3 linked regions of the Stegostoma tigrinum genome follow. The protein of the gene in region 3 purifies or fractionates together with the protein of the main gene of each other region. This does not show direct contact. Links are inferred from orthologs where the notes say so. Each region holds a gene or a part of one and is shown on either strand. Other genes may lie near its edges.

The links.
Region 1: the proteins of eps15l1a (region 3) and ap2s1 purify together in Homo sapiens (affinity purification with mass spectrometry; 4 studies listed by BioGRID and IntAct, counting the BioPlex papers as one, with this or other methods). This does not show direct contact. The link is inferred for Stegostoma tigrinum from reciprocal best matches to the Homo sapiens genes EPS15L1 and AP2S1.
Region 2: the proteins of eps15l1a (region 3) and intersectin-2-like purify together in Homo sapiens (affinity purification with mass spectrometry; 5 studies listed by BioGRID and IntAct, with this or other methods). This does not show direct contact. The link is inferred for Stegostoma tigrinum from reciprocal best matches to the Homo sapiens genes EPS15L1 and ITSN2.

The regions. Positions count from the first base shown.
Region 1 is NC_081392.1:11,812,229-11,815,981, reverse strand, and holds the start of ap2s1 (AP-2 complex subunit sigma), read right to left. Parts: upstream 2,376-3,753; 5' UTR 2,194-2,375; coding exon 2,191-2,193; intron 1-2,190. UniProt on the Homo sapiens protein: Component of the adaptor protein complex 2 (AP-2). Adaptor protein complexes function in protein transport via transport vesicles in different membrane traffic pathways.
Region 2 is NC_081357.1:74,094,501-74,098,253, reverse strand, and holds the start of intersectin-2-like, read right to left. Parts: upstream 2,437-3,753; 5' UTR 2,282-2,436; intron 1-2,281.
Region 3 is NC_081383.1:43,284,762-43,288,514, forward strand, and holds the start of eps15l1a (epidermal growth factor receptor substrate 15-like 1), read right to left. Parts: upstream 2,257-3,753; 5' UTR 2,196-2,256; coding exon 2,169-2,195; intron 1-2,168.

The DNA of each region.
Region 1 (3,753 bases), on a different chromosome or scaffold from region 3:
AATGCTCAACCAGTAACACCCATACCTCAATTTTTCCTTATAGGACAACTTCTTCATCCCAGGTACCAGATATATCAAACAGTGATTGACCACATCCACTTGAAAAAAACTTGGGAATAGGACATAGCCCAATTTATTCTTAATTTTTGTAACTGGATGGAAGAAAATGCAGAATTGCCCCAGAAATGAGAAGAAATCCAAGGGCAATAATTTGAAAGCAATGTAGATATTCCAACTGAGTGCACATATGGTATGGGACAGAAGACGCAATGCATACAGATCAACTGTAAGCCACATAACAAAAACCCTTTGCCTAGGTCCCATCACATTGACAGAGAATTTAAGATTATAATCATGATTACTTTGCCATTTCAAGGAATGCAAAGGAATTGTGAAGGTAAGAGGTCTGACAATTCCCCAGATGTAGCTTGTTGATCTCTGGTAATTCCTCAGAGGGGATGTTTTCCTTAGGGATAGAGGAAAATCAAATATTTTACTGAAATGCAAAACTACACAATTCCTACATTTGGTCACAGAGCAAGGAAGATGTAGGTTGCCAACATGCTTCATCAGTTTGAAGCTCAAATGCACACTCTCATATATACAGGGGCCCATCCTCTGCAAACAAAAAGAATATGCTCAATGCTTGTGTCGCCTTTGAATTATCTGTAAGATCAGGGAACCTGTCATATCTTCATTGCTTTCTTCATGGCAACACCTGACTGTCAGAATCCACTTTCTATCCAATCAACACCCTTTTCTCTTGAAATATAAATTGCTGTGGCTGCTGTCATTCCTTTGACCTTTCAAATTCTATGCATCTGTCTCCTAAATTGAGGTATCCTTGCCTATGCTTTAAAGTAATTTACACATCTTTGTACTGTTTCTAAATCTATTAACTGGTTGTTAATTCAATTACTTGCTTCTTTGTGAAAATAGCAAACACTAGAACTTTTCACGTAATATCATTAGTTTTTCCTACCGAAACATTAAATTTAGTTTATTTCTTGCGAGATACCCTGAACATATGCAGATCCAAAGGAAGTCAAGTTCTTGGTCCTAAAATTTAGAGGTATGGTCCAGTTCCAAAACACTAACTGGTCTTCTTCAGATGCTCTCTCAAGATGATCCATAAAATTGAGAGGGAAAGAAACAAATTTGCATGTCCTCCCTTATTTTATGGAAGCATAACTAAAGTATCAGAACCAAAATAAAAAAACTCAGAATAAATCAATTTTATCATGGACCTGTTAGATAAATTTGTTCCCTAAAAACAAAACCTAATGCACATTTCTAGCATTTGGTATGCATTTCGGATTTACAAAGCAAATGTAAAATCAAAACATTTTCACCCTAACAGGACCATACCCGGGTTTACACTCCATCCAAGGTTCCTTCAATCCTTTCTTCTCTAACCCCCTCAAAAGATTGTCCTATTCCTTTTGTCCTCGCATTTTTATGAACTTCAGTTAAATTATTCTCAGCTATGCCTTATGAAAGTGACACAAACAGAAACTGCTGGCAAAACTCAGCAAGTCTGGCAACATCCCTGGAGAGAAATCTGAATTGTGTCCAGTGACCCTTAGAAACGTGAGTTTAACGTTTTCACCACTCTCTGGGCCAAGTCATTTTCCTGTTGGATTTATCAGTGACCACCTTATCTACATATGGCCCACGTGACCTGGTCTGAGCAATATGTAGAACCATCTTCTCGAAATCTGCCCTGACAAAACCTTTCACATTTATGAAGAACCTTACCAGGTCGTCCAAAGCTTTTTTTCTTCTCTGGAGAAAGCAGCCCCAAACCTGTTCAGTTTTTCCTGATAGTTGAAACCTGTCAATTATGGCTACCACCTTCAAAAAACTGCTCCTTTGAAAATGCAAAAGCTCAATTATACCTGTACCATTTTTGACTTTTACGACATAAAAACACTCAGTGGATGCTTTAAGCAAGGGAAAAGCGACAAGGCCTCTATTTCACGATAAGTATTCACTCTGTGGCTGTAAGATACCAAAGCAAACATTTCAATCCTAAGGTTTGCCTTTTTGAAGAATTACCCACCTTTTGTTAATTCATTTGCGTTATTTTTATAATTTACAGAAAACCCTTCATCGCTGGGCTTACGTTAGGCCTCATCCTACATTCAATCTATTTCGAAATGGGGAAATTAAAAAAAGATCACTACTTACCATTACGACTCTGCTTTTTGGGTGTGGTTTTCTTTTTATAAAAAGCTGTGTTTTATGGGAGTTTATTTCTTTCCCTTTGCCGGGACATATGATATTTTATTTCAGAGGGGACACTTTTTTTTCTCCCTTTCAGTCACCGCTGACTGTCAGAACCCGCAGCCCACCACCGCACATGCGCTAGCCTCACCCAAGGCACGCTGGGGAATGTAGTTCTTTCCATCCGCGCCCGGCCGTTTCCTCCTCTCTTTCCCAATAACACCACAATTCAAATCTATCACAATGCGTCCCTTTTGGAATGCTAAGGAAATATTTTTCACCGGGAGATGTTACTATAAAAACACAAACGAAGTCCCAGGTCACGAAAATGACTCTCAAGTTTGTCTCTTGATTCTAGCCATGTTAATCAAGCCTAGCAGTGACTCATCGACATTTAGATGTCTCACTAATCGAGGAATACGATTGCATTACAATTCATTGTAATGCTGAGTGAATTAAATAATGCAAAAGCTGTATACAGCTAGGGAGATGAGACTACAATTCCCGGCACCCTCGGTCACACCCAACTTCCGATCCGGCGCTGTCGCCTTCCACATCCCTCAGCTCCACCACCACCCTCAGAGCCGCCGGAGGCCTACAACCTAACGTGCTGGATGGACGCCGAACCTGATTGACGTGATCAATGTCCAATGGAATCCGAGTCTCCTTGGAGATTGCCCAATGGAAGCCTAGAGAGGGTAGGCGGGGATTTAAAAAAATGAAATCATCAAGCTTGGTTGGGAAAACAAACGACGATGGTGGAGGAGCGAGGGGGAAGGGGGTGAAAAAATGTACTCATTGTCGTGAGGCCAGTTTTTTAAAGTATTATTTTGAGGGGGATAGTTGAGGCGGCAATTTTGAGTGAAAATCGGGCGGGGCCTATCGAATGGTGTGTGCGGAGGTGGATTTTTGTTGATGTTTGACTAATTGTTTGACGATCGGGAAGGAGGAGGAAAGAAAAATATATTTGTCTCTTGGAGGAGGAGAGATCACCTGACCCATCGAATCACTGCGCCTCCATGGCGGCCTGAGAAGCATCATGGGCGATGTCTACTCCTGGGGGGAATCTAGCAGCAGCAAAGAGAAAAAGTTGTTGAAGGGAACGAGTACGGAAGAAATATCCGCCATTTCTGTCCGGTCATAGATTTGCAAGAGGAACGAGAGCAAAGAGAAAGCAAAAGAGAGGGTTTGGGGAAAAAAACCACATTACTTTAATCCACATACATTCCCTATCCTCCAAATCTGTCCTGTGATTCCTTAGGAAAACAAGATGTCTGCTGACCATAAATTTTAAGATAGACCCAGGAACAAACCTGTGTCTATTATTTGCCTCATCTTGTGGAAAGAAAGCAAAGGTAGGGAGATGTTTTATTTTCTTTCTCATCTCTCACGTTTCCATCTACAATCTCTTTTTCTTCCCATTGAGTGGATCTTTAATTTGTATTCTAAACCTGCTCTTTCTCTCTGATTTTGGCCTCCCAGCATTTATTTCGTTGGAAATATTTCGGGGGAATTTTTGCTGGTGTC
Region 2 (3,753 bases), on a different chromosome or scaffold from region 3:
GTTGACATTGTTTTAGTGTACACATTCCATTATTCCTGCCAATGTCTAAATCAAGCAAACATAAAGTTGCTGTCGTCCTACCAGGCAATAGGATTATCTCAGTAGGGAGAGACGACTGGTGGTGATTTAACCAGAGGGTCAGCATGTCTCAGATGAAGGGAGAGGTCGAGAAGCAGAATTGCTCACGGTAACGTCAGCCAGTGTGGGAGCTGAACCAATGCTGTTGGCATCACAGTGCATCGCAAATCAGCCATCCAGCCAAAATTATCTTGTGTTCTGCCAATACCAATCATTACTCTATCCACGAGTTTTATATTGCAATTTGTGCTATGTTATTATTATTGAAAAATAATAGCTTTGAAGTCACTTTAAAAGGCTAATTTTCAGATTTTACATGATTTTTAAGAAAACAAGCTCAACTTTAGACTTACAGTTTCAGACACCTACAGGCCTAATTTCATTAGTACATTACAAATCTCATTCGAGTCAATTAATTGGTACTTTAACAACTCAAAATATCCAAATCAGTAGCACTTGAAAACTTACCAGCATTCCAACCCTGCCCCTCCCACAACGATTCAACAGCCATAGACAGCTCCAACTAACCTACTGCCACGACAGTTGAGTGGATTAAGTCAATTCTACACCGTCACAGAGAACTCTATATAATTTACTGAACAATGGCGATCATTCTTTCAGGTTATCATGGTTATAGGGAAATATCTGATATTACAAACTCAGCCAGATTCAGGATTTGAAACAGGATGTTAAGCCACTGAAAATAAAATTTCAATTCATGATGTCACAAGACTTCCTCCACTGGGCAGGTATTGTCTACGTCACAAAACACAATTTGTATTGATTCCATATCGTGATTGTTCACAGAAAAACTGCTGCTGGCAGCCTTACTGTAAGCTACTTCAAAATAGAAATAAAGGCTCAGCAATGCCTTTTTTAGCATTTGACACTTTTTCCATGTTTTCACTTGGGAAAATCCACACAAAATAGCAGGGGGAGAAATTTTGCAGTTCACAGGGTTAGTTAATTTAATAATACAATATATATGACCGGTTACTCCCACTCTTAAGAATTCTCTATCTTGGATTCTAAATTCCTACACTATAAACAGTGAGAAATGGGTATTTAATAACAAAAGGTACTTTTAAACTATATAGTTGAAGCCAAGGTACTTGACTTCAAATGTCCGAACTTTTCTAATATGACAAAAAACTGCCAGTTTCATCACGTGGTGGAACCTCCAGCAAAACACGAGGGGATATTCCATCACATGTAAGGCCAGAAAATGAGTGACCACATACTACATGCCAACCTTGCAGATGGATGGATGGAGGGACATCTTAAAGGACAGGTGATGCATCACAGCCAAGTCTGATCCCATCTTTGAGGACACAGGTGTAGTTATTTCTAATCATCCTGTTCAGACATGTTGTGACAAACCCCCAGGACAGGCAGGACTTGAACCTTCTGTCCCAGAGGTAAGGACACTGTCAAATGCCACAGGACCCCTTGTGGCCACAGATGTAGATATTTTTAATCAACCTGTTCAGAGATGTTATTACACACTTCTGTAGCACGTGGGACTTGAATTCAGGGCTCATAATTATCCTGTTCTGATGGAACAAGATCCGTGACCAAGAAACCTGTCTGCATTTTCCTAACAATGTTGCCCAGGAATGCTCATATTTTCTAAAAATCAATACAAATATACCAAATTTTGAAATATTCATGTATGCTGACTGTAGCATTTCAACATGTACGATCAGTGTTTAAATGGTACTAAGTCCTCACTAATCTGGTAAGGTACAATACTGTAAGGAAATTGACCAGCTGGTTAAGATACTGAGCCACTGGCCAGCCTGGGAAAACGACCAGCCTCGCCGATTCTGCGGTGAACTTGAGTGACCAAGCTGCCCGTTTGTGAATGTCAAAACAGAAAACAGACTGAAATGACAAGCCTGAACTTATTCCCGTACACCCCAAACAATAACCATTTCTTGTTCATACACAAACCAAGCCCCAGTCGTTGCCCTTTAATTCCCAGCCCCAGATAACGATCCAAGGCTGGAATCCGCCATACGGAGTGGTTTCGTCGGGCCCGAGGACGGTCACTGTCCCCGACACCTGCCGGACGGTGACGGTCCGGTCCGTCCGGGGGAGGGGGAAACTGAGGCCTGGAGTGTCCGGGCAGGCAGCCTCCGGCCCCGGGGTCTCCCTGCACAGCCTCCCCTCCGGCCCGGCGCCGGTGCCCAGTCTCACTCACCTCTTCCCGCAGGCTCCTGTCCGGCCCTCCTCCGGAGACTTGTTGCTGATCCGCGGTCAGAACAGTAACATGGCGCTGACAACCAGAGAGACAGGAAGAGAACTCAGCACAGAAACAGGAGGAGGGGGAAGGAGATACAGACAAACAGATGGGGGTGGGCGGGACAGAGAGAGAGAGACGGGGCTGGGGAGGAGATAACGAGAGGTTGGGGGCAATGGGAGGAGATACAGAGAATAGGCGTGTGGAGATAGAAAGAAAACAGAGGGAGGAGACAGGGAGAGAGACTTCTGGCTGGCCTCTCATGCTGTTTTTCTGGCATTCATTTATTGCCCCATTCATTGCCCAGCCCTAATTGCTCAGAGGGCTGTTGAGAGTCAACCACATCGCCTTGGGTCTGGTGTCACATGCCGGCACTTCCCTTCTCTAAAGGACGTCAGTGAATCAGATGAGTTTTTTTTATCCCCAACAATCGAAAATGGATTCGTGGTCATCGTTAGACTCTCCATTCTAGATTTTTTTAATTGAATTCTAATACCACCATCTGCTATGGTGGGATTCAAACCCAGGTCCCCAGAACGTTACCTAGCTCTCTGGGTTGACGGTTGAGCAATAATACCACTAAACCATCACCTCCCCACCTACAATTCATAATCTTGAGATATTCCAAAACATTAATGCCTCTGTCCTGTCTTGCATGAACTTCCACTCAAGAATAATGCCCATTGCTGGTCAGCCTACACTGGTCCCCAGTTTTGCAAAAGTTGAATTTTAAAATTTGCATCCTGTTTTCAAATCCCTCCATGACCTCACCCCTTATCACTGTAACCTCACTACAAAACACTGAAATATAGGAAGGATGTTGTTGAACGTGAGAGGATGCAAAAATGATTTACCAGGATGTTGGTAGGACTGGAGGGTTTGAGCTCTGGGGAGAAGTTGAATGTTGTCATAGAGATATACAGCACAGAACTAGAATCGTCCATGTTGACCAGACATCCTATATAAATCTAATCCCATTTGCCAGCATGTGGCTCACATCCTCTAAACTTCCTATTTATATACCCATTCAGATGTCTGTTAAATATTGTAATCATACCAGCCTCCACCAGTTCCTCTGGCAGCTCATTCCATACACACACCAGTCTCTGCATGAAAAGGCTGCCCCTTAGGACCCTTTTATATCTTTCCTACGTGACTTTATACCTCTGCCCTCTAGAGGTCTAGCTTTGGAATCCCCCAATCCCAGGAAAAGACCTTGCCTATTTACCCTATCTACTTACCTCATGATTTCATAAGCCTTTATATTGTCACCCTTCAGTCTCTGACATTCCAGGAAAAATAGCCCCAGCCTATTCAACTTCTCCCTATAGCTCAAACACTCTGACCCTAGCTATATCCTCGTACGCATTTTCTGAACCCTTCCAAGTTTCACAACATTCTTTCTACAGGAGAGAGACCAGAATTGCATGCAA
Region 3 (3,753 bases):
AATGTAAACATTACTGATTCAAAAGCTCTACCTCATGTGTATGTACACAAAGCACTGACAAAAAAGTTACTCCACATTCAGAAGTAGTCCTCAGAAGCAAGTATATTTAATTCACAACATTCCATAACTTTGAATGGAACACAAATTCAGGGCCAAGCCCTAACAAACTTTCAACTATCTTAGAACCAAGAACATTACAAGTTGGTTAAGTCTGTTAATTCTTTTCCATCAGTGAATGACAAAGGTTTCACCAGATCTGAAGTAATATATGTCAGAAGATAGGCATGACGATATCAATGAAAATAAAAAGCCACACACATAAAGTCGCCACAGCTTGTAAACCAGGTCCAGCAGACATGAATCAGAATCCAACAGTCTGGGCAAATAATCAGTTCACAAAATTAATTTTAAAAAAGTATCTCTCTAACTGCATATACCTCACGGACAGACAGAAAGAATGATTTGAGTTAGTACGGCAAGTATAAAAATCTTTCATGTACCAAAGTTGCCTTCAGCACCAAGGAAATCAGTCTCCTAGTTGACAGGAAAACAATAATTCGGGTCTAAATTGCTTCTCCCACACTCATCTCAAGAATGGAAAAAACAGAAAAAGTTGTAAATACTGAAAAGGTTGTTAGCCTAAAACATTAACTGCTTCTCTTCCTGCAAATGCGACCTAAACCGATTCTGCCAATATTTGCTTTTATCAAACACTGATATATAACCAAAGATCCAGAAGTTTCACTTTATTACCTACCATCTCGTAATTCAAGCCGCTGTGTATATACATCAATATAAGAGCACCACATGACCAATACAAAACTGCAGCTCCACAGTGAATCCTGCATATCAAATGTGAGAAACAACATTCTTGTGCTCAAAACTGCTCCCAGCTCACGAAGTAATATTACCAGAGAGAATCTCTCATAGACCACTACAATGCCAAAATACAAACGATATTGTTTGGTACAGACCCAACTGCAGCAATGCTCAATCGCCTTTAAGACGTCTGCCAACGTCGAACAATGCACATCTGAGACCATAATCCACTGTTGGAAGGTTTAGCTTGGGCTAATATTTCTTGTAATTAGTACTTACTCTACAATGCCTGTCTCATGCTTATAGCAAACTGCCTGTCTGCCTGACATATGGTCAGAAACTTCAAAAGCTAAATTAACCTCAATCATATTCATGATGGAGCTATTAGGATTATTCCAGGCAAAGGAAAAAGAAACATTAGCCAAGTTTCCTGATCCGCACAATTGTCCAGTGACCCCTGCTGGTTGTTTATACTTTGTGCGGATTTTTTTGTATAGATGTCAGGCTCAGTTCTGAAAACCCATCCCTGTCACACAGCACAACAATCACCAACGCAGTTTCCTAATCTGAAGGATGGTCACTAGTAGAGTCATTTCAGGGGTTCACGGTGCCTGTGAAATTCCAGCAAGTTGTCACATTCAGGAAAAGACGTCAAAGGAGTCGGCTGAAAATAAAACCCTGTAAAGCTTCTACATTGCGCTTTCGGGCTATGAACAATTTCTCAAACAACTTCGATTTCTTACACTGTCCGCTGGAATGAAAGACAGCAGGAAAACTCTAGATCCATGCCCCAATGTGACAGAAGGCGATGCAAACACTGGCACCAGCCTTCGCAATGTCTAAGGAAGTCTATATATGTGAGGGAAGGGATGCCAGGCTTCTGCTTGGAACACTGAAAGACAGTGCAGCAAGCACAGACCCACCAAGCCTCCACACTGCAGGCTGACTGTAAACAAACAGCAGTTGGAGGGAGACCCTATGCTCACGAGCCACAGTAAGAGAAGGGAAATAAGGGGACGTGCTCTGCATTCACAGACGAGGAAGGAGCGGGCTCCTGGAACTACTGCAAAGCTGGTGCTGGCTGGGAGCCTCGGCTTGCCATTCAGACTCGCAACCACCTCGTATTCCCACCCGTCGCCCACCTTCATCCGCTCGGATTCACCCCAGCCGCGGCCTAGGCGTCTCTCCATTACCCTTCTCACTGACAGTGAAATTATACGAAACCCCGCTCCAGAGGCTTCGGGCCTCGGCGGGGAGAAGATTCAGCCTCTGCTGCTGCTGCCGCCGCCGCCGTCCCCCAGGCTCTCCCTCCCTCACCAACACCCCAGCAGCCGAATCATTCTCGGTACCTGAGTGAGAGAAACAAGCGCCGCCATCTTCGCCGCGGAGCAGCACCCGCGCTCAGACCGGGCTTTTGGTTGTGGTTGGGAGTGTTGGTGAAACGCATGCGCGCACGGGCGGCGTCCGCGCACGCACACAGCCGGGGCGACGAGCCTGACGCGCCGCCTGATCACCAAGGGGGTTCGCGCGCGCTGCACGAGCACCGATTGATGTTGCCTTTTGCCATGTGTTTCCAGAAGCTGCTGTCAAGGCATTGAACCACTTGAGGAAGCAGCGTGTCCCATTCTCAGTAAAGCATCACTCTCAAAAACCGGCTTCGAAAAATAACAAATACACAAATCATCCAGAAGCAGAAAAGAACATTGATACAAAAACAGAAAAAGCTGGAAATACTCGGTGTTCAAACAAAAGGTCGTTAACCTAAAATGTTACCTCCGTTTATTATCTCCCCACTGCTGAGCATTTGAATATTTCCACCAAGCTGTGCACTGTGATGGTTACATTTAGCATCGGACACCTCGTGGCGGTATGTGCAAGTCCATCCACCACTAATTTCGCATTTGTCGATGTTCCAAGACCGCTGTTAAAATTCTGAAATTTTCTACCCTGTATCATGGGTGGAGCAAAATCACCCCAAGGACTACAGCAATGCATTCAGAAGGTCCCCCAACACCACTTCAGGGCATCCAGAGAAGGATATTAATGATCAAAGGATACTGTGTCACCCATAGGATTAGGAAGAACTGCCCATCTAGGTCCGAAACGTCAGCTTTTGTGCTCCGAAGATACTGCTTGGCCTGGTGTGTTCATCCAGCTTTACACTTTGTTGCCCTATTAACCACATTGTGTTACCCACCTCCTCAGAAGTGACATAGACATAGAAGCAAAGTACTGTGGCACCTGAAAACCTGAATTAAAAACCTAAAATTACATGGCGCAAAAATTTCAGCAGGTCAAGTAGCCAATCCTGAAGTAAGTAATATTCAACTAAAAACATTAGTGCTAATAATGTATTTATTAAGTGATAGAAGCATCAGAAAAGATGTCACAAGTAATTTGCAGAATCCTCAGTGCCAGATTGAGGAAATCTCAGTTATTTATAACTGTTTATTCCTGTCTGTCACAAAGGCAAAATGGGTGGACCAGTCCATGCCTTACAAAGGAAGTATGAAATAGTATCCAATCCAAGGAAGAAGCATACAGAATGGCCAAGAATAACAGTAAATCTAAGGCATGGGAGCAGTTTAGAATTTAGCAGAGAAGGACCAAGGGATTGATTAAGAAAGGGGAAAATACAATACAAAAGTAAGCTTGCAGGGAACATAAAGATTGATATTAAGAGTTTCTATAGGTACTTGAAGAGAAAGAGATTGATAAAAACAAATGTAGGTCCCCCTACAAACAGAAACAGGGGAATATATAATAGGGGACAAAGAAATGGCTGAGCAACTGAATACCTACTTTGGTTCTGTTTTCAGAAATTACGACACAAATTAGACACCAGAAATGTTGGAGAAGGCAAGATTTAGTTAGAGGGAAGAGCTGAGGGAAGTCAATATTAGCAGAGAAATGGTGCTGGGAAAATCCCTCTGA